Linked DNA regions of Xenopus tropicalis. The protein of the gene in region 1 interacts with the protein of each later gene in a pairwise test. Links are inferred from orthologs where the notes say so. Each region holds a gene or a part of one and is shown on either strand. Other genes may lie near its edges.

Region 1 (4,071 bases):
TGCCCCTTTCTATTACACCCAGTACATTCTTTGGATCTGCTCATTGTGCCCTAAACACTCCTCATTTTAGTTCTTCCCATAATTGTAAGATATTTATTAACATATTGGTGTTAGAAAATAGTACCAGGTTTGGTTATAATGATTCCCTTTTCTCTGTAATAATAAAACAGTACCTGTACTTGATCCCAATTAAGATATAATTACCCCTTATTGGGGGCAGAACAGCCCTATTGGGTTTATTTAATGGTTAAATGATTCCCTTTTCTCTGTAATAATAAAACAGTACCTGTACTTGATCCCAACTAAGATATAATTACCCCTTATTGGGGGCAGAACAGCCCTATTGGGTTTATTTAATGGTTAAATGATTCCCTTTTCTCTGTAATAATAAAACAGTACCTGTACTTGATCCCAACTAAGATATAATTACCCCTTATTGGGGGCAGAACAGCCCTATTGGGTTTATTTAATGGTTAAATGATTCCCTTTTCTCTGTAATAATAAAACAGTACCTGTATTTGATCCCAACTAAGATATAATTACCCCTTATTGGGGGCAGAACAGCCCTATTGGGTTTATTTAATGGTTAAATGATTCCCTTTTCTCTGTAATAATAAAACAGTACCTGTACTTGATCCCAACGAAGATATAATTACCCCTTATTGGGGGCAGAACAGTCCTATTGGGTTTATTTCATGTTTAAATGATTTTTATTAGGTTTAAGGTATGGAGATCCAAATTACAAAAAGACCCTTTATTTGGAAAACCTCAGGTGTGAAGCATTCTGGATAACAGGTCCCATACCTGTACTTTAGTGGATAAGGACAATGGCATGCCAAGATGATTTACCAAGCAACTTTTGCTTTGAGTGCTTTATAATGGCAAAAAATAGGAAAATTTTTATTTTTGTTAATTAAAACAATAGAATGTAATTTTAGCATAAGTCCTATTTGATGTGCTAATATTTAGCAAATATGTTTTTAGGGATATACTGTCCCTTTAATTCAATATCTCAAATGTAAAATATTCCCTGTTCCTGTATCCAACCATTCGGGTACATTCATTATATAGTAATAAATGCTTTATTAGCCTGTCTTTGCTTGTTAATCGATTAGCAGGTAATTCTCAGGCTGCACAGATACACACCCTGCCGGAGCAGATTTCTTCCTCTCCATACAAAACAATGGGATTCCACATAACTCTTAACACTGGCTTCTCAGGACTACGCCCCCCATAATTCCCTGGGCCTGGAGCTCAGCCAACTTATTTCCTGTTAGATCAGCTGCTCAGAGCGTGACTGAAGTTCTGCTCCCTGCAGCTCTGGGCACTGCTACTGGGTTCCTCGCAGGAGAAGCACCATGGCTGCCAGTGGGGCAGAGCTGAGTCTGCGGTACCGTGACAGGGTGGCAGTCATAACGGGGGGCACCAAGGGCATCGGAGAAGCAATGGTCAAGGAGTTTGGTAAGGATTCAGTTTGCTGCTAAAGTTTATAACTAAATCCCAATGTATCTGCCTTTTATTTATTATTGTGTATATGGGCAGTGGCATAAAGCAGCCCTGGGCACTGGGGTACCTGCATTCTTCTACTAGGGATGCCCCCAATCCTCTTTTTAGGGTCTGGCTGAACCCCGAATCCTTTGCAAAAGATTCAGCCGAATACCAAGCAAAGTAAAGGTTAAAGAGAAACTTCCATATTTACGTGACAAAACGTCATGGATTCAGATTTGGTTTGGCCAAAGGCATGGATTCGCCCAAATCCTGCTGAAAAAGACTAAATCTTGGCCGAATCCTGGATTTGGTGCATCCCTATTTAGCGCCAGTACCACACTTTTCTACTGGTTTAGTGCAGCGCCTCAATGCATTTATAACTAGAGTGGAGCCAAATGAGTAAGGCAATGGTTCTGAATCCAGTGCTCAAAGCTCAAAAATGGGTCTCTGTGCTTATAGGGGATTGTTACCATGACCCCTTCACATAAAGTGGCACTTTGCCACTTTACAACTGAGGTTTATGAAGAATTGTGGATAATGTATTTATATATACTGTATATATATATATATATATATATATATATATATATATATATATATATATATATATATATATATATATATGCTATGAACTGGCATTCAACAAATGCCCAATGTCCAAGTGGAACTAAAGTGCTAAGAAGCCAATGCAGCACAATTATAGTGATACTAAAAATGGATTGTGTTGAGAATCATTAAGGATTTCCACCAACTTTGTGGATGTGCCCATTGTTGCTCTAAAAGGATATGGAGCTAGCCTTAATTTCAGTATTTCAGCCAAGATGGTTTAACCCTGTCTCCTGTATTTATAACTAAGTCTATGATTAGTCTTGTTGGATGAAGCTTGCTGTTGCTGTCATCCTAGCGCTATAGGCCAATTAAAAACGAATCTAAAAATTAGAATCCAGATGTTGTTGTATTGATGCATTTTCAGCCAATATCCACAACTGAGTTCTGCCCTATGGAGTTTTATTACTACTTTTCTGTTAGATTTTGAGGGTCGGCAGGTTAATCACACCAACAAAGCTTGAGGTGGGAAGCAAGGGTAATGGCCCTCAACCCTGCACATTGTAGGGCCAGAGCAGCAGCTGTAGGTAAAAAGAACGGGGAGCAGAAGGAAGAGATGCAGACAGTTGCACTTTATATTAGCATTGCCCAATATATGCCCCTTGGGCTCTTTTCGAGGTATAACTGGCACCCACCTTATTGGGACTTATAATTCAATGACAGTCAAACAGTCACTATTGTATACATAGTGGGGCCCAGCAACATCTGTACATTGCCCTGGATGTGTTATTTGTTTGGCTTGACTTGGCAGAAGGACAAGTTACACATACATTTTGTTTGGTTGGGTTGTTCTGTTCAGCTCAAAGTCCAGAGGGCAGGATTTCTCCTGTTATTACTGTGGGGATGGGTTGTGTAGGCTCGACCCCCTCTCTGGCGCTCTGTCGTGTAGAATGTACTATACCCTTTATAATGACCCACGCAATACGGAGGTTATCAGCTTGCTTTGGGCTTTTCATATCTTCTTTACTTCGTTGACTATGGGGCTCATTCATCCAGACCCCCTAGTCTTTGGGAAGTAACTAAGTACCCACTATAGGGGGGGCATTACTGCTAGGTGTGGGTAATAAGGGACAGGTGACTGATTATTCTTTCTAGGAAATAGAAGAAAAGCTTTCTGGTTCGTCACACCAAGCCTGTTCTAATTGCAGTGCAAAGAAAGAGGGAGTCATAGTTTCTAGGTGCTAGAAGGACACAATTTGGGCCTCTCCTACCCTAAGGCTCCTGATCTCAGGCTAAACCAGTCGCCAAACATTGCAGCGTGCATCCACATGGCACTAATAGCAGCTTTAGGCCAGTGATCCCCAACCAGTGGCTCGGGGGCAACATGTTGCTGCCCAACCCCTTGGATGTTGCTCTCAGTGCCCCCAAACCAGGGAGTTATTTTTGAATTCCTGACTTGGGGGCAAGTTTTGGTTGAATAAAAACAAGATTTCCTACCAAATAAAGCCCCTGTAAGCTGATAGTGTGCATAGAGGCTGCCTAATAGCCAATCTTAGCCATTATTTGGCTCCTCCATGAACTTTTATGGTGCCTGTGTTGCTCTCCAAGTCTTTTTACATTTGACTGTGGCTCACGGGAAAGAAAGGTTGTGGGCCCTGCTTTAGGAGAAGTCCCCACTGTGGAGACAAAAGGCTCTCTCAAGCCCAAAATCCAATCCTGCTGCATGTATGTGTTACTATGGATCCTCAGTGTGTTACAATACAGCAGCAGCCATTTACCATAGATACTGCATGTATGTGCCTGTAGCACTGACTCTTTTCTCTCTTTTGTGCCCCTTCTGTTCGTATCTGCAGTAAAGAGTGGCGCCAGGGTGGTCTTCTGCTCGAAAGGTAAGGAACTCTTCATAGGAATCTCCCACGTCTTGGGGAAATGTGTCTTTTTCACACACACACACACACACACCAGACCAGTCTCCTATATCCCTGCCCCCCCTCAGCGAGCAACTGCTGGGTCTGCTTTCTCTGCTCCTACACCCTA
Region 2 (5,543 bases), on another chromosome or scaffold:
TGTACCATGTATGGCCTCTTCCATACACAGATGTCTGAAATATATCCTTATGCCAACAGCTCCAGTGCTTGATTCTGCCTATAGGACTTGGCCATTTGTGAGCCCATCAGAACTATCACAGGAAATAATTAGCAGGACCCATGACATCTTGGACTGCAGCAAAGAACATTATTACCTTTCTTTTTAAATTATTATATTTGGCTTTCTATTGCTTTTTCATGATTTTATTCCCACCATAAAGATATAAATCTAAAGTTAGTCAATCTTGCAACATCTTGTTTTAAATCCTGTATAATATTTGTTTGCAACTCTTCTTGGGAAAAGCCTTAGTAACAAAATGCCTTTTCACATTTTTATGTATTTAAAGCAGGTCAGTGTTACGGGGCACTCCATCCTCTCTTATCTGCCCTCAGCAGCACAATGGGCACTAGTTCATTGTCATAAATGGTGCTAAACTGCCCAGAATGCAAGGGGACAATTCTGCTTAGAATGAATCCCTTTTTTTTTTTTACAAAGTGCATTAGGTAATAGAGCTCCTATAGCAGAATCCTGCATTCAAATCTATTTTTCAAAAGAGCAAACAGATTTTTATTTTTGTTCAATTTTGAAATTTGACATGGGGCTAGCCATATTCTTCATTTCCCAGGGTGCCACAGCCATGTGACCTGTGCTCTGATAAACTTCAGTCACACTTTACTGCTGAGCTGCAAGTTGGAGTCATATTACCCCCTCCCAGCAGCCGATCAGCAGAACAATGGGAAGGTAAGAAGATAACAGCTTCCTGACATCTGCATTGCTTAAAATGCTCCCTTGCCCCACTTAGTTGTAGATATGAGAATAGCACAGTAACACCCCTAGTCCAGCCATGACTCCTCCAGTTACACTGAGTTGAAGAAACAATAGTTATTAGGCACAATGCACTGAGATGGCTGCCTACACACTAATATTACAACTAAAAAAATATATTTATTGGTTAAAAAATAAAATGTTAAATGGTAGAACATGCAGTGTATGCAACGTACACATGTGCAATGGTACTTGCAATGTATATGGTGTCATTTAGTGGTAACACCATACACAGTCACATATGGTAGCACATAGCTACACTAGTATTTATTGAAGTCAGTATTTAGGTCGTCTTTCATGTATTTAGGGGAAAGCTTGCCTGGTGCAGTCCACACTTGTGTACAAATGAACATCACTGTATATTGTTCTTTTTTTAATTAATGAAATGTTTTTTTGTTGATTTAGAAAAGAAGCAAGTGATAAAGAAACAGTGATTTCAGCTGCACCACCTTGTCATTAAGGGCTCTGGCACACGGGGGAGATTAGTCGCCCGCGACAAAACTCCCTGTTCGCGGGCGACTAATCTCCCCGAGTTGCCATGACCCGCCATCCCACCGGCGAACATGTAAGTCGCCGGCGGGATGGCACACGTGGCAGCGTGATTTCGGGAAATCGCGCTGCCGCGCCCTGCCAGAGCCCTTATGCCACTGGAACAATTTACTACTATTTTTCCTTGACGGGTGCAACAATTTTTTGATGCGTGCCTTTTTACATGTTTCACAGTTTTTTTGCCATTTCACTAATCTTTTCAAAGTTTTGCAAATTTTTCACCGAAGTGACATGGGACAGACTTGCTCATCACTATTTACTACTGTAGGGCTGCTGAAGCTCTTAGCTGCAACAGAAATTCTGTATATAAAATACAGCATGTGTAGCTTTATTTATGTAGTTATCCCTTTAAAAGAACTGGCTATAAACCCCTAGGCCCAGGTTGGCTGAGATGTACTGCCACCCTGTGAAATGAGTTTGCTAGAAGCAGATATATCTACTTGAGAGATAACATTAAGATGATCTCTCCACCTGTTTTGCTCTCCCCGCCAAGTCCACCCTGTAATCAGCCCTTATCAGAGACACAATAATAGGATTGCACTAATTAGTGGAACGGTATCTTTCTGGACAATCATCCAGTACATACTGGCTTTTAATCTTAGATTAACCATATTAAATTACCAGGATTTGGATTCACTACAACCTGCTTTGGTACGATTAGGGTGAAGACACTAATGCTGATCATTTACTGATAATTGTCTCTACGTGTGTTTTAGCAGAGGCAATTCTCAGTATTGTCTATGGCAGGGTATTTTCTGGAGTTTAGTAGCCATGACAAGTAGCTACTAAGTAGCTCTGTGTGTCTTCACCCTTACACACACAAGCAAAAGTGATTTTTAAAAAAAAAAACTTGCAAACAAAATATTTAAAAAGAGCATAGCAATACCAGCATTTGGGACTAAAAGCTAACTAAAAATAATACTGCATGGCCTCATTTGCAAAGACCCTACTCATTTAGTAAGCACTTGTGTTCAGGACTTCGCTTCACTTTGCACCCCATGCCAGTGTAGGGCAGGAGGTAAGGACAGAGCTCTCTTGCATCCTGCACCCACTGGCTACCTGAGTTCCAAAACTTGCATGTCTGGATGGCCTGTGTGCCCCACAGCCCACCCTTATGTATACAGTGATGTATCAGTGTCTAACTTTATTTATTAAGCACTTTAGCAAAGCCAAAAGCAGTCAGCGATGTATTTACTGAGGGAAGTGTAGGTTCTGTCACTACCTGTAAACCTGTAGCTATGGTGTAAAGTGGTGGGTGAGCAGGTGGGTGAAAGGGGCTACAGAGGAGCTGTGGGCTACACACACCCTAGTCTGACCCTGGTCTGTGCCCAATTTTATGCACATTATACCATGGAGGAAATGACTCCTTAAATCTCTTATAGTTATACTGATCATTTATATTCTATAAGACTCAAGCCTGCTTGATTTAAACCATGCCCTATTCTTGTTTGTTTGTATTTCTACATTCTCCCCCTTCAGCTTCTAAAGATGCTGTTGACACTGCTAGTATAGCTTATCATAGATTCTATATATATATATAATGTGACATAAAGTGTCAATATCACTTTAATGTTACACCATGCACTGTTATGTTATATGAGCTTACTCTCAGTAATGTGACAACAAAGTAGCCTGGAAATGAAGGGGGAGCTTATTTATATCCAGCAAACTTAGATGGCAGTTAGTCCCACTGGGAAGCCTAGATTGCTCTATACAGTGCCCAGACACAACTAGTGCTAAGTGCCTATATACACCAAACCTATGCACTGTATGAGCCCAACTGAAAGATGGAACAGCAGCTATGTGTTCATTGTATTTGCAGATAAAATAGTTCTAAACAAAAGTGTCAGTTTATATACGGGATGGAAAGTTAACTCGGGAAGAAGACAAATCTCCCAGGTGTTTATTACTGCTGAGGTTTAACCCATGTGGCAATCAGATAGCAGAGCCCCGGTATAACGCTTGGGAGCAAGTAGCGCCAGAGAGCGCAGCGTAGGGACTGGAGGGCTCCGATGCGCACACAGCGCCTGGGTTTAAATCGCTTAGCGAATCGCTCTTACCTTCTTCATAGCCCCATTCCTGGTTCTCTTTTTCCCCTTGTACAGCCTCGTCCTCTATATAGTGTTTGTCAGCCATGGGATCGCTGTGGCCTCCTCCTCCCCTCCTGCTGTATGGGATGTGCCAGGCCGGGCTAGCGCTCTCTCTACTTGTGCCCCAACTCAAGTGCCCGCCCTCCGCCCAGAGGCACCGGGACCTGTCTGAGCGCACAGCCCGGGGAGATGGGCAGGACTGGCAACAAGTGTAGGGATGGGATTTACTCTCAGCCCCTACTGACTATTAGAACCTCTACTATTACAGGGAAGCGCTGTCATTTTAAACGTTTCGGTCACAGGTGGTGAGTGACCAGAACGCTGGATACCAATAAAATACTGTTTTTGTACTAAAGAGCTGCAGAGTGCCGCCCTTCTGTACTTTTATAGACTTTGTTAGCACCAAGGCACCTGGACACAGAGTAGAGTGCTTCTCTTAGGATAATGTTTACATATAGCTGAAAAAAGTGTTATCTGCAATGCTATCCCAGATAAAGAACCGTTCCACAGTTTGTATCACCAGTCTGTTAAAAAGAATCAATAAACCCAATAAGATTGATTCCCCCCAATTAGGATTTATGCAGATTAATTGCCATCAAGTACAAGGTGTAAATTGTTTGTTTAATCTGGACTTTATGGGACATGGCCAAGGTGCAATTTTAAACATTCTGGATAGGGTTTCTGGATAAGGGATCCCTTAAGCAATGAAATATGTATAATACACTGGGGCAGCTGGGTGAATATACAGAAGGAGGATAAAATTACTGTTCTGAAATATCAGGGAGTCTCATACTTGTACCCAATCAGTCTGTTTTAATAACTGCACAGGTGTATGGTATGTGTGGTATGTGTAGCTAATGTTTAGCCAGGTGTCTTTATATTGTAAAATGCCTCAGCTGTATATCACATTTATTGAACATACTAAGGGGCCCATTTATCAAAGTACGCTTGAATCCGAATCCCAAAAATTCTAGTTGTTTTCGTACTGTGCGTATTTTCACCAATTCGTTAGACATTTTTGTACTGTGCATCAAAATTTATGCGACAAAATCATATTTGTTGCAACGAGTATGAAAGTTTCGGATTCATTCAAGCTTCGGTATTGTGATTTCCTTAGGCCAGGTTGGAGCTGCCATTGAGTCCTATGGGAGGCTTCCAAAAACATGCACAAAGTCAGAAAGGTTTTCCCGCCGTTTTCAATTATTCGGTTATGAAAATTTTGTGACTTTCGGATCGCCAATACGATATTATCGTGACTAATACGATTTTTGTGACATTTCCGATCATCAGAAATTATTGTATCTATTCCGAATTTTACCCATTTCGGGATTCAAACTCGTTCTTTGATGAATCAGCCCCTAAGTGTCTGCCCTCTGTTTGTGTTCATTGCAGAGTACATTGCACCAAAATAAGTGTTTTAAAGCAATTAAAATATAAAGTACTGTTGCCCTGCACTGGTACAACTGGTGTGTTTGCTACAAGGGGAACTTCTTTAGAGATGTATAAGGGGTACGAATGCAGCCCACCATGAGGCACTCAGCGAGAGGTTAGGACAATGATTCCCAACCAGTGGCTCAGGGATAATATGTTGCTCCCCATCCCCTTGGCTGTTGCTCCCAGTGGCCTCAAAGTAGGTGCTCACTTTTAAATTTCTGGTAAGGAGGCCAGCTTTGGTTGCATAAAAATCCAGTATAATGCCAAACAGAGCCTTCTGTTGGCTGCCAGTCCACAAAGGGGCTATTAAGTAGCCAATTAAAGCTCTTATTAGCACCCCCAGGAAACTTTTTCATGCTTGTGTTGCTCCCCAACACTTTTTCCATTTAAATGTGGCTCACAGGTATAAAAGGTTGGGGATCCCTGGGTTAGGAGAATGATAGTTGAGGTAAGTGCATGGCATGCATCTGGAGGGTGCAGTTAGGGGCGCCTGGAAGGTGGGGTGGGGTGTGGCCAGTCCAGAGGATGTTGGGGGAGCCAGGTGTAAATCTTGCACCAGGGCCCTTACTTTTTTAGATACACAACTGGACTTTTGTTTGGGCGCATCTCTGCTTTAAAAAAGCC
Region 3 (5,484 bases), on another chromosome or scaffold:
TTCAGTAGGTCACTGATGGACTGCAGATCAAGGTCAGTAAAAGTGGACGAGGCCACCAACAGCTAATCAGATTTCATCCATTGAATTTTACTGTTTTTTTAATTAAAACACTCCCACTCACACTATTTAAGCCAGGGTTCTCAAACTTCAAACAGTCAGTCACTGGGTTGTTACAAATTTAAAGGACAATGAAAGGTTAATATAAATTAAAAGTAAGTCTAAAGGCCATTCTTTTTAAGTACTTACTGCACATCTAAATTCCCAGATCCCTGCTTGCTTCTCTGAGATATGGTGCTGGCAGCCTACAGCAGTGTGAAGACTACAGTGACATCACTGAAATCTCTCTCCCCTTCCTGTAGGTGCCAGCGGCAGCCTTCCTATTCTCTGAGCATATGTGTAACTTGATCCTGTCTGCTGTTCTGAGCTACACATGCCCACCAGCCAATCAGAAGCGGATCTGGCAGGGGGGGAGGGAATGAAACACATGTGCAGTATGAAGCAAGGAGGGAAAGGAAGGGAGAATACCTTTTTAGAGATGGCTGCCTGTTCTAGAAAATGTGAAGTAAGTGTGACTGAGTAAATATTTGATTAGGTGAGCCAAAAGTGTTGCGTTTTTACTAAACAATAGGAGGACTATTGGGCAGTATGCTTTTTAAATTTTGACTTGCATTCTCCTTTAAGGTTAGAAAAAGTCAATTACATTTCTTTCACTGGTTTCAAAATTTAAACTGCTGCCATTCTCATACGTTCACTGGGGAACTAAGGTTAAAGGTTAGCAAAACTGGGCGAAGCCACCAACAGCCAAATTAGAGCTCACATTGACTTTCACTGGTTTATATTTAAACTGATGCCATTATTTAAGCATTAATTCCAAGGTTGTTGAAATTTGCAAAGTTAGTCACTGGGTATTAGACTGAGCCACCAACAGCCAATAACTATTGACTTTCAATGGCAAAATGTAAAATGCTGTCAGTGCCACAATTTTTACGTCAGGGTCCCCAAACTTTGGACAGTTAGTCACTTAGTGACTGCAGTTCAAAAATAGAAAAAGTGGGCAGGGCAACCAACAGCAAATCAGATGTCATCCATTGAATTTCATTGGTTTATATTAAAATGCTGTCATTCTAACACTACAGTCATGTGACATTATGTCCAATTTGCCTTTTTTCTTCCCTTTTTTGTTCTGTTCCAATACACACAAAGGGAATAAACATGTGTATAGCAAAATATGTGTTACTGCAATACTTTTCTATGAGAAATACTTGATTTTCTGCAAAAATTTCTGGGGTGCCAACAATTTTGGCCATGTATTTATGCCACGGTGGGTGATGCCTATCTGTTGTCACTCATTGACTTTCAGTGGAAAAATTGATATTGCTGCCATTCTTGCACTATTAAAACTAGGGTCCCCAAACTTTGCACAGTGTTTTTTACTATATGACTGTGGTCCAAGGTTAGAAAAACTGGGTGAAGCCAACAACAGCCAATCAGATTTCATTCAGTGACTTCACATGTTTTTCAAAACAACATGAAGTTTGTTCTCAAGCTTCCTTTTCTAGTTCAAATTGCTATTTTTCAGTATCAAACAATAAGGGGATGCTTATAAGCCATGATGCCCAGTACTGTGTGTGTCAAATATTGGTGGACATTGCTTGACCACAATAGATATGACCATTCTCCTGTGTAATATGTACATTATCAGTGGGAGCCCACTGATCATATGTCAAAGCGAATAACGTGCTTAATGTGTAAGTAAAACGTTGTTCAAAAACTGCTAAAATATTGATTTCAACAAATATTTTTAATAATATTGGTATCCTTGTATATAAAATCGAGTTGAATTCGCACAACAACCATCCTTGATGGTTAGAAAACAGCCAAGCTTTTTAAACCAAAAATTCCTGCGCGAATTCGAGGCATGCGCAATACAGGAAACGGTAATGCACGAAATTGAAAGGACTGACGGTAGGTGCCCGTATTCCCAACTTCATTAAATGCTGCCTTCAATGCGTGCTGTTAGTTTTCATAATAGAGCCGAACACCGCTGTTCCCATCTTTGACAACACTTTACTCTACCCTCTTCTCTGGTTTAATTTTCCAGCCTATTGCTGTTCGACCAATCTGAACTTTTCACACAACTGCCAACTCTGCCGCCTTCTGCTATTTGCCTGCTGGTACAAGGCTGAAGGGGTGGAGCTGCAACACGGAGTTGCAAAAGGGCGGGCCTAACAAGCGCTACAGCGGCGTTCCGTTTTGGCGCAGGAAGAAGGAAGGCCTGTGAACTGACAAGTGAGAATGACAACTGTAGCATTACAGAGGGTATGGAAACTGTGTAAATACATACAATGAAATCTATAGAGGCGGAGAGGTGAGATAGAAATCAGAATACAAAATGGGAGAAGGTTGGGGAAATAGACAGGAGCACATGTGAGATCATGCAGAGAATAGCACTTTGGTAAAAAAAATAAATATTGGCACAAGAGCAGTACAAAAGTTGACACGAGACAAGAGAAATGATACGGAGAAAAACACAGGTTTATGGTGAGATATTGGTACCCTTCAACTGCCCAGGAAAACCTGGGTGATTTATGGTAGTTATGCTACTAAAGCAGTAAAAAACAGAAAATAAATACATAATAGAGCAGAAGGAGGTGGGAAAATACACAGTTTAAAGCTGGCCATACATACAAGTTTCGTAGGATATGCGGTATGTGTATGGGGGCTCAACGAGGTGACCGATATCGCAAAAGGCTGCGGATATCGGTCGACTCAGCGATCAGCCAAGTTAAAAGATTTTGATCGGGTGCCATTGCAGGTGCCTGAGCAAAATCTACGTTCAGGGCTGAATCGGCAGAAGGAGGTAGAATGTTGAAAGGTCTGTTGTTTCTCCCTCCATATCTGACGGATTCAGTCCTGAACGTCCGTGGAGGGTGGGAACGATCGAAATTGCTACATGTATGGCCACCACGTGTTAAAAGAAGTGTGAAGCAGAGTGAGAGTAGGCGGGTGATTTGAGGGAGAGATGTGTAAAATGTTAAAATTAAAGGGGCCCTCCACCTAAAAGAGTTTTTTGCATAATTCAAAGCAGCATTTAAAAATGTATGTTGAACTATTCCCATGAGTGTTGCTTACTTTGTATTGAACAATTTTTATGCATTACAGTGCATTCCAGGCGGAGGAGGTATGTGGCATAAGGTATCACCAAGTGATTTTAGCAAGGTCTCATTTTGTTTAACAGATGCCTAGAAAACGTCAGCGAGTACAAATATTAAATAATGCCCCCTGTAAAATGATCTTGCATGAAAGCACAGAAAAGCATGAAACTTCTTCATACAGTGAAGAGCAGAAGCCAAAGATCAGCAAATATTTCCAAAATCCTGGGATTCATCTTCTCTCTGAGTTTTATAATCAACCGTGTACTGAACTGGCCAAATCCTTTCTGGGACAGGTAATATAATGAGACAGAAGTGCTAAATATATATAGATATATGCATGATTTTGTGTGATAACAGATTTATATTTAGTTAAAATATAGACAAATGCCTGTACGCTCATGTATTGATTTAAAGGGGGATATATACCATAAATTTTTACAATGCACTAAACAATGTAAAATAGAAGGAAGTGCTTTTATTTTAATACCTTTGGGTTCAAATATGTCCATAACTGCTTGAAAACTGTGCTCTACCCAGACCTTATGCCAGCTTCCGGTTTAGACTCTTCAGTATATGGCTCAGAGCCGCCGGCCCAGATAGACTTCAATGACACCACCTCACCTACTTAAAGTGAAATGAATATTCATAGAGTGGGCGGGGCTTAGCAAGCTCACAGACAGTCCGTTCCTGCTCTACTCGCTTCTCCCCCCCCCCCCCCCGCAGCAACACAAGCAGAGAGACACAGAAGGAGGGAGGGGTTTTCCCTGCTGCTGTTGAGTAAAGCCTGTCAGTCAGTGCTGTGACCACTTCCTGTGGGAGACTGAAGGACACTCCCATGTCTCATTTGGCTCTGGCTTCCGACTGGAGAGCTTGTGTATGCAGCTCTCATAATGGCAGTTTTAGGAGGTAAAATGCTTTCAAAACATCTTTCTTTCTGCATCATTTCACACTGAGGAGGATAGGAAGGGGAGGGAGGATGAATATTATAACTGAATATGAACTTTATATAAAATGTCTCCTTTAAGGAATACTGTTGTTTACTTTAGTTAAAAAAGGAATGCATAGTATTGTATAAAGTACAATAATTTTAGAACAGAAATAATTTCCTTTATGGCAGGAATTACATAGTAACATAGTAAGTTAGGTTGAAAAAAGACGTACGTCCATCATGTTCTACCATAATGCCTATATATAACCTGCCTAACTTCTAGTTGATCCAGAGGAAGGCAAAAAACCCCATCTAAAGCCTCTCTAATTTGCCGCAGAGGGGAAAAAATTCCTTCCTGACTCCAAGATGGCAATCGGACCAGTCCCTGGATCAACTTGTACTAAGAGCTATCTCCCATAACCCTGTATTCCCTCACTTGCTAAGAAGCTATCCAGCCCTTCCTAAAGTTGTATAATGTATCAGCCAATACAACTGATTCGGGGAGGGAATTCCACAACTTCACAGCTCTCCCAGTAAAAAAACCTTTCCGAATATTTAAATGGAACCTCCCTTCTTCTAAACGTAGTGGGTGCCCTTGTGTCCATTGGAAGGACCTACTGGTAAATAAACCATTAGAGAGGTTATTATATGATCCCCTTATATATTTATACATAGTTATCATGTCACCTCTTAAGCGCCTCTTCTCCAGTGTAAACAACTTGGCCAGTCTTTCTTCATAACCGAGACCTTCCATACCCTTTACCAGCATAGTTGCCCTTCTCTGGACCCTCTCTAACTCAATCATGTCCCGTTTGAGCACTGGAGACCAAAACTGAATAGCATATTCTAGATGGGGCTTTACCTGCGCTCTGTAAATGGGAAGAATAACCCCCTCCTCCCGTGAATCTATACCCCTTTTAATACAGCTCAAAACCTCGTTTGCCCTTGCAGCTGCTGCCTGGCGTTTGCTACAGCCAAGTTCATAAGTCAAGGGTATAAGTGGCTTGCATATTTTTACATCCCAGGTGCATGACCTTACATTTATCCACATTAAATTTCGTCTACCACTTAGCCGCCCAGATTGCCAGTTGGAGATCCTGCTGCAAGAATGCCACATCCTGGATAGAATTGACTGGTCTGCAGAGTTTTGTGTCATCTGCAAACACTGCTACATAGCTTATAATACCCTCCCCTAAGTCATTTATAAACAAGTTAAACAAAAGTAGACCCAGTACAGAACCCTGAGGGACCCCACTGAGAACCTTACTCCAAGTAGAGAATGTACCATTAACCTTTTCCCTGCCAAAAACGTAGGTACTACGTTGTTTTAAAAAAGCAGTTATCTGCCAACAATGTAGTACCTACGTTTTTTGGTGCTAATGCAATTCTCTCTGCACCGGG
Region 4 (5,608 bases), on another chromosome or scaffold:
GTGGAAAGGTGGGTTCTTTCTTAAGTCAGAGCAAGAGAATTCAAGAAGAGGAACGGACGGCTGAAAGGGTTAAAGGTAGGAGTCTGGGAGCCATTTAGGTTCCAGTAGTCTTACAGCAGCCCCTCTGGCATTTGCCTGAACCCACAGATTGCCAGTCCGGGCCTGATTTTCAGTACACAGAGGCCCAAACAGCCCCCCCATAGGCCCAATAAATAGTGTGTGTCTATGGCACCTTACAGCAGCCCCTCTGGCATTTGCCTGAACCCACAGATTGCCAGTCCGGGCCTGATTTTCAGTACACAGAGGCCCAAACAGCCCCCCCAGCAGCCCAATAAATAGTGAGTGTCTATGGCATCTTACAGCAGCCCCTCTGGCATTTGCCTGAACCCACAGATTTCCAGTCCGGGCCTGATTTTCAGTACACAGAGGCCCAAACAGCCCCCCCATAGGCCCAATAAATAGTGAGTGTCTATGGCACCTTACAGCAGCCCCTCAGGCATTTGCCAGAACCCACAGATTGCCAGTCCGGGCCTGATTTTCAGTACCCAGAGGCCCAAACAGCCCCCCCATAGGCCCAATAAATAGTGACTGTCTATGGCACCTTACAGCAGCCCCTCTGGCATTTGCCTGAACCCACAGATTGCCAGTCCGGGCCTGATTTTCAGTACACAGAGGCCCAAACAGCCCCCCATAGGCCCAATAAATAGTGAGTGTCTATGGCACCTTACAGCAGCCCCTCTGGCATTTGCTTGAACCCACAGACCAAGGCCTGGATAGGATACAGGCACGCAGGAAGGAAACAGTGACGGGCTGTGAGATGGGAATAATATAATCACAGAGGGAAAGCAGAGAGTGAAGGTTCCCCCGGGACACTGTGCCAAATCAGCAGGGTTACAGAGAGTGTCGCCAGGAATAATCACTAAAGCGGAACTAGGGCCAAGTTTTGGTAACTGAGATGCCACACAGCTTTTTTCATACCACTGGCTACTCTCAATATCCTGTGACAGGTACATACAGTGGGACATGTAAGTGACAGGGAGAGGCAGTGGGGTGTGGGTGGCAGGAGAATACAGGGGGGTGTCAGTAACGGGGCAGGTAGAGGGGGATGTCAGTAACGGGGCAGGTAGAGGGGGATGTCAGTAACGGGGCAGGTAGAGGGGGATGTCAGTAACGGGGCAGGTAGAGGGGGATGTCAGTAACGGGGCAGGTAGAGGGGGATGTCAGTAACGGGGCAGGTAGAGGGGGATGTCAGTAACGGGGCAGGTAGAGGGGGATGTCAGTAACGGGGCAGGTAGAGGCGGGGGATGTCAGTAACGGGGCAGGTACAGGGGGATGTCAGTAACGGGGCAGGTACAGGGGGATGTCAGTAACGGGGCAGGTAGAGGCGGGGGATGTCAGTAACGGGGCAGGTACAGGGGGATGTCAGAGAGAAGAAATACAATGAGATATCAGTGATAGGATACAGTAGGATTTCTGTGATGGGGATTTAGTGAAAGGGACACAGAATAAGATGTCACAGACGGGGGGGCACAGTGACACAGAATAAGATGTGAGTGACAGGGGATACAGGGAGGGGTCAGTGACAGGGGGATACAGGGAGGGGTCGGTGACAGGGGGATACAGGGAGGGGTCGGTGACAGGGGGATACAAGGAGGGACAGGGGGATACAGGGAGGGGTCGGGGACAGGGGGATACAGGGAGGGGACAGGGGATACAGGGAGGGGTCGGTGACAGGGGGATACAGGGAGGGGTCGGTGACAGGGGGATACAGGGAGGGGTCGGTGACAGGGGGATACAGGGAGGGGACAGGGGGATACAGGGAGGGGACAGGGGGATACAGGGAGGGGTCGGGGACAGGGGGATACAGGGAGGGGTCGGGGACAGGGGGATACAGGGAGGGGACAGGGGGATACAGGGAGGGGTTGGTGACAGGGGGATACAGGGAGGGGACAGGGGGATACAGGGAGGGGTTGGTGACAGGGGGATACAGGGAGGGGACAGGGGGATACAGGGAGGGGACAGGGGGATACAGGGAGGGGGTTGGGTGACAGGGGGATACAGGGAGGGGACAGGGGGGATACAGGGAGGGGACAGGGGGGATACAGGGAGGGGACAGGGGACAGGGGGGACGGGGGATACAGGGAGGGGTCGGGGGGATACAGGGAGGGGTCGGGGGATACAGGGAGGGGACAGGGGATTACAGGGAGGGGTTGGTGACAGGGGGATACAGGGAGGGGACAGGGGATACAGGGAGGGGTTGGTGACAGGGGGATACAGGGAGGGGACAGGGGATACAGGGAGGGGTCGGGGGGATTACAGGGAGGGGTCGGGGACAGGGGGATACAGGGAGGGGACAGGGGATACAGGGAGGGGTCGGGGGGATACAGGGAGGGGTTGGTGACAGGGGGATCCAGGGAGGGGACAGGGGGATACAGGGAGGGGACAGGGGGATACAGGGAGGGGACAGGGGGATACAGGGAGGGGTTGGTGACAGGGGGATACAGGGAGGGGACAGGGGGATACAGGGAGGGGACGGGGGGATACAGGGAGGGGACGGGGGGATACAGGGAGGGGACGGGGGGATACAGGGAGGGGTTGGTGACAGGGGGATACAGGGAGGGGACAGGGGGATACAGGGAGGGGACAGGGGGATACAGGGAGGGGTTGGTGACAGGGGATACAGGGAGGGGTTGGTGACAGGGGATACAGGGAGGGGACAGGGGGATACAGGGAGGGGTTGGTGACAGGGGGATACAGGGAGGGGACAGGGGGATACAGGGAGGGGACGGGGGGATACAGGGAGGGGACGGGGGGATACAGGGAGGGGACGGGGGGATACAGGGAGGGGACGGGGGGATACAGGAGGGGTCGGGGACAGGGGGATACAGGGAGGGGTCGGGGGGATACAGGGAGGGGTCGGGGGATACAGGGAGGGGTCGGGGGGATACAGGGAGGGGACAGGGGGATACAGGGAGGGGTCGGGGACAGGGGGATACAGGGAGGGGACAGGGGGATACAGGGAGGGGTCGGGGACAGGGGGATACAGGGAGGGGACAGGGGGATACAGGGAGGGGTCGGGGGGATACAGGGAGGGTCGGGGGGATACAGGGAGGGGTCGGGGGGAGGGAGAATACAAAGTGATAGAAGTCAATGGCAGTCACAACACGGAGAAGGAGGGCCGCGCCAGTTCGGTGCCAGTCAGGGGAACGTTCCCCAGACACACACAGAGCGGCTTCCGTTACTGTTGCAGCCGGTGACAGATGATGTTGCTGCTCCCCAGCCGGCTCCCCCTGCCACACACAGAGCCCCCACCTTACCCACCTTATATACCCGCCTTCCCGCGCTGACACAGGTGCTGAACACGTGACCCGCTGCCCGGCAGGTGAGAGACGCGCAGTCAGAACCTTCAACGGGCGCAGTCCGAGTCGCGGCGGATCGCAGCCTGTCGCTTGTTTTCGGCCTCTGACGTCACCGCCCCACGTGGTACGCGTGTTATTTTTTTTAAAAAAGGCAACTGTTGTGCCGTCGTCTCTTTGTGCCCATTGGTTTTGCCGGACGCCGAGGCCCCGCCTCCTTGGCCATTCCAGCCAATAGAAATGACAGCTGCCAGAGGGGCTCGCCGTTGCTAGGCGGTAACCCGCAGACTGACGCAGAGTATGCAACCAATAGAAAAAAAAAGAGAGGAATGGGTGGGTCTTGAGAGAAATTTTAAAAAGGAGGGGCGGGGCTACTAGCGGTTCTGTGTGTGAGGTGAGGGGGTCAGGCTGGAGTCAGCAGTACGGTAACCTTAGCTTCACCTCCGGCGGGACGTGCTGTTTGTGTTTAAATGCAGCCTCTGCTTCCTATAGGCAGCCTGTACCGTCCCATGGGGTGAGTGTCAGTGTGAGTGTGTCAGTGTGAGTGTGTCAGTGTGAGTGTGTCAGTGTGAGTGTGTCAGTGTGAGTGTGTCAGTGTGTGAGTGTGAGTGTGTCAGTGTGTGAGTGTGTCAGTGTGTGAGTGTGTCAGTGTGTGAGTGTGTCAGTGTGAGTGTGTCAGTGTGAGTGTGTCAGTGTGAGTGTGTCAGTGTGTGTGAGTGTCAGTGTGTGTGAGTGTCAGTGTGTGTGAGTGTCAGTGTGTGTGAGTGTCAGTGTGTGTGAGTGTCAGTGTGTGTGAGTGTCAGTGTGTGTGAGTGTGTCAGTGTGTGTGAGTGTGTCAGTGTGAGTGTGTCAGTGTGAGTGTGTCAGTGTGTGTGAGTGTCAGTGTGTGTGAGTGTGTCAGTGTGTGTGAGTGTGTCAGTGTGAGTGTGTCAGTGTGTGTGAGTGTCAGTGTGTGTGAGTGTGTCAGTGTGTGTGAGTGTGTCAGTGTGAGTGTGTCAGTGTGTGTGAGTGTCAGTGTGTGTGAGTGTGTCAGTGTGTGTGAGTGTGTCAGTGTGTGTGAGTGTCAGTGTGTGTGAGTGTCAGTGTGTGTGAGTGTCAGTGTGTGTGAGTGTCAGTGGTGTGTGAGTGTCAGTGTGTGTGAGTGTCAGTGTGTTGTGAGTGTCAGTGTGTGTGAGTGTCAGTGTGTGTGAGTGTCAGTGTGAGTGTCAGTGTGTGTGAGTGTCAGTGTGTGTGAGTGTCAGTGTGTGTGAGTGTCAGTGTGTGTGAGTGTCAGTGTGTGTGAGTGTCAGTGTGTGTGAGTGTCAGTGTGTGTGAGTGTCAGTGTGTGTGAGTGTCAGTGTGTGTGAGTGTCAGTGTGTGTGAGTGTCAGTGTGTGTGAGTGTCAGTGTGTGTGAGTGTCAGTGTGTGTGAGTGTCAGTGTGTGTGAGTGTCAGTGTGTGTGAGTGTCAGTGTGTGTGAGTGTCAGTGTGTGTGAGTGTCAGTGTGTGTGAGTGTCAGTGTGTGTGAGTGTCAGTGTGTGTGAGTGTCAGTGTGTGTGAGTGTCAGTGTGTGTGAGTGTCAGTGTGTGTGAGTGTGTGTGTGAGTGTGTGTGTGAGTGTGTGTGTGAGTGTGTGTGTGAGTGTGTGTGTGAGTGTGTGTGTGAGTGTGTGTGTGAGTGTGAGTGTGAGTGTGTGTGTGTGTGTGTGTGTGTGTGTGTGTGTGTGGTGTGTGTGTATACAGGGAATACTACATGGCAGCTCCCTCAGCGCAGACACAGCCAACAGGGCAAGATGGAGGCAGAGATGCTTTATGTTAGTAACCTAGTCTCCTCTCCCATGTATAGCGCAAGGGCATCAGGGATACTGGGAGCTGCTGTTAAACAGTACGTTTGGCCCCATTGCCCTCAATCTAAAGCTGCCCATACACCTACTGATAAAGTTGCATGAAACTTGGGCCGGTGTGTGGGCTCTGAATGGCCGATCGCTCGTTTAGCTGATACCGCAGGTTATAGAATTCCCATCTGATAAGGATAAAATCTCCGTGTGTATCTGATTATATCCTTGGGGGCCATTAATGGGAGTCATTTTCGTACGGTCGGTGTCTGCCAACTAATTCATGTTCCGAACATCCTCCCATTTGTTATTCTTTATCAGGGTCAGACTGGGGGTGTCCCTGCCGGCCACTTCCCCCACAGAGCCTCCCTAACTCCCATCCACAGGGGCCCCCACAGAGCCTCCCTAACTCCCATCCTCAGGGGCCCCCACAGAGCCTCC

What was found. The genes of interacting proteins can lie anywhere in the genome.
Region 2: the proteins of hsd17b14 (region 1) and ca8 interact in binary tests that used the Homo sapiens proteins (3 or more experiments, as listed by UniProt). The two-hybrid records come from large-scale screens. The link is inferred for Xenopus tropicalis from reciprocal best matches to the Homo sapiens genes HSD17B14 and CA8.
Region 3: the proteins of hsd17b14 (region 1) and mpg interact in binary tests that used the Homo sapiens proteins (3 or more experiments, as listed by UniProt). The two-hybrid records come from large-scale screens. The link is inferred for Xenopus tropicalis from reciprocal best matches to the Homo sapiens genes HSD17B14 and MPG.
Region 4: the proteins of hsd17b14 (region 1) and cdkn2d interact in binary tests that used the Homo sapiens proteins (3 or more experiments, as listed by UniProt). The two-hybrid records come from large-scale screens. The link is inferred for Xenopus tropicalis from reciprocal best matches to the Homo sapiens genes HSD17B14 and CDKN2D.

The regions. Positions count from the first base shown.
Region 1 is NC_030683.2:114,406,471-114,410,541, reverse strand, and holds the start of hsd17b14 (17-beta-hydroxysteroid dehydrogenase 14), read left to right. Parts: upstream 1-1,271; 5' UTR 1,272-1,358; coding exon 1,359-1,461; intron 1,462-3,887; coding exon 3,888-3,923; intron 3,924-4,071. UniProt on the Homo sapiens protein: Catalyzes the NAD(+)-dependent oxidation of L-fucose, yielding L-fucono-1,5-lactone, which rapidly converts spontaneously to L-fucone-1,4-lactone. Can also act on D-arabinose and L-galactose, with lower catalytic efficiency. Does not use NADPH.
Region 2 is NC_030682.2:116,895,109-116,900,651, forward strand, and holds the start of ca8 (carbonic anhydrase-related protein), read right to left. Parts: upstream 3,550-5,543; 5' UTR 3,532-3,549; coding exon 3,456-3,531; intron 1-3,455. UniProt on the Homo sapiens protein: Does not have a carbonic anhydrase catalytic activity.
Region 3 is NC_030685.2:40,629,406-40,634,889, reverse strand, and holds the start of mpg (DNA-3-methyladenine glycosylase), read left to right. Parts: upstream 1-1,935; 5' UTR 1,936-1,965; intron 1,966-2,101; 5' UTR 2,102-2,295; coding exon 2,296-2,319; exon of another isoform or gene 2,320-2,368; intron 2,369-3,238; coding exon 3,239-3,448; intron 3,449-5,484. UniProt on the Homo sapiens protein: Hydrolysis of the deoxyribose N-glycosidic bond to excise 3-methyladenine, and 7-methylguanine from the damaged DNA polymer formed by alkylation lesions.
Region 4 is NC_030679.2:138,209,068-138,214,675, forward strand, and holds the start of cdkn2d (cyclin-dependent kinase 4 inhibitor D), read right to left. Parts: upstream 3,550-5,608; 5' UTR 3,322-3,549; intron 1-3,321. UniProt on the Homo sapiens protein: Interacts strongly with CDK4 and CDK6 and inhibits them.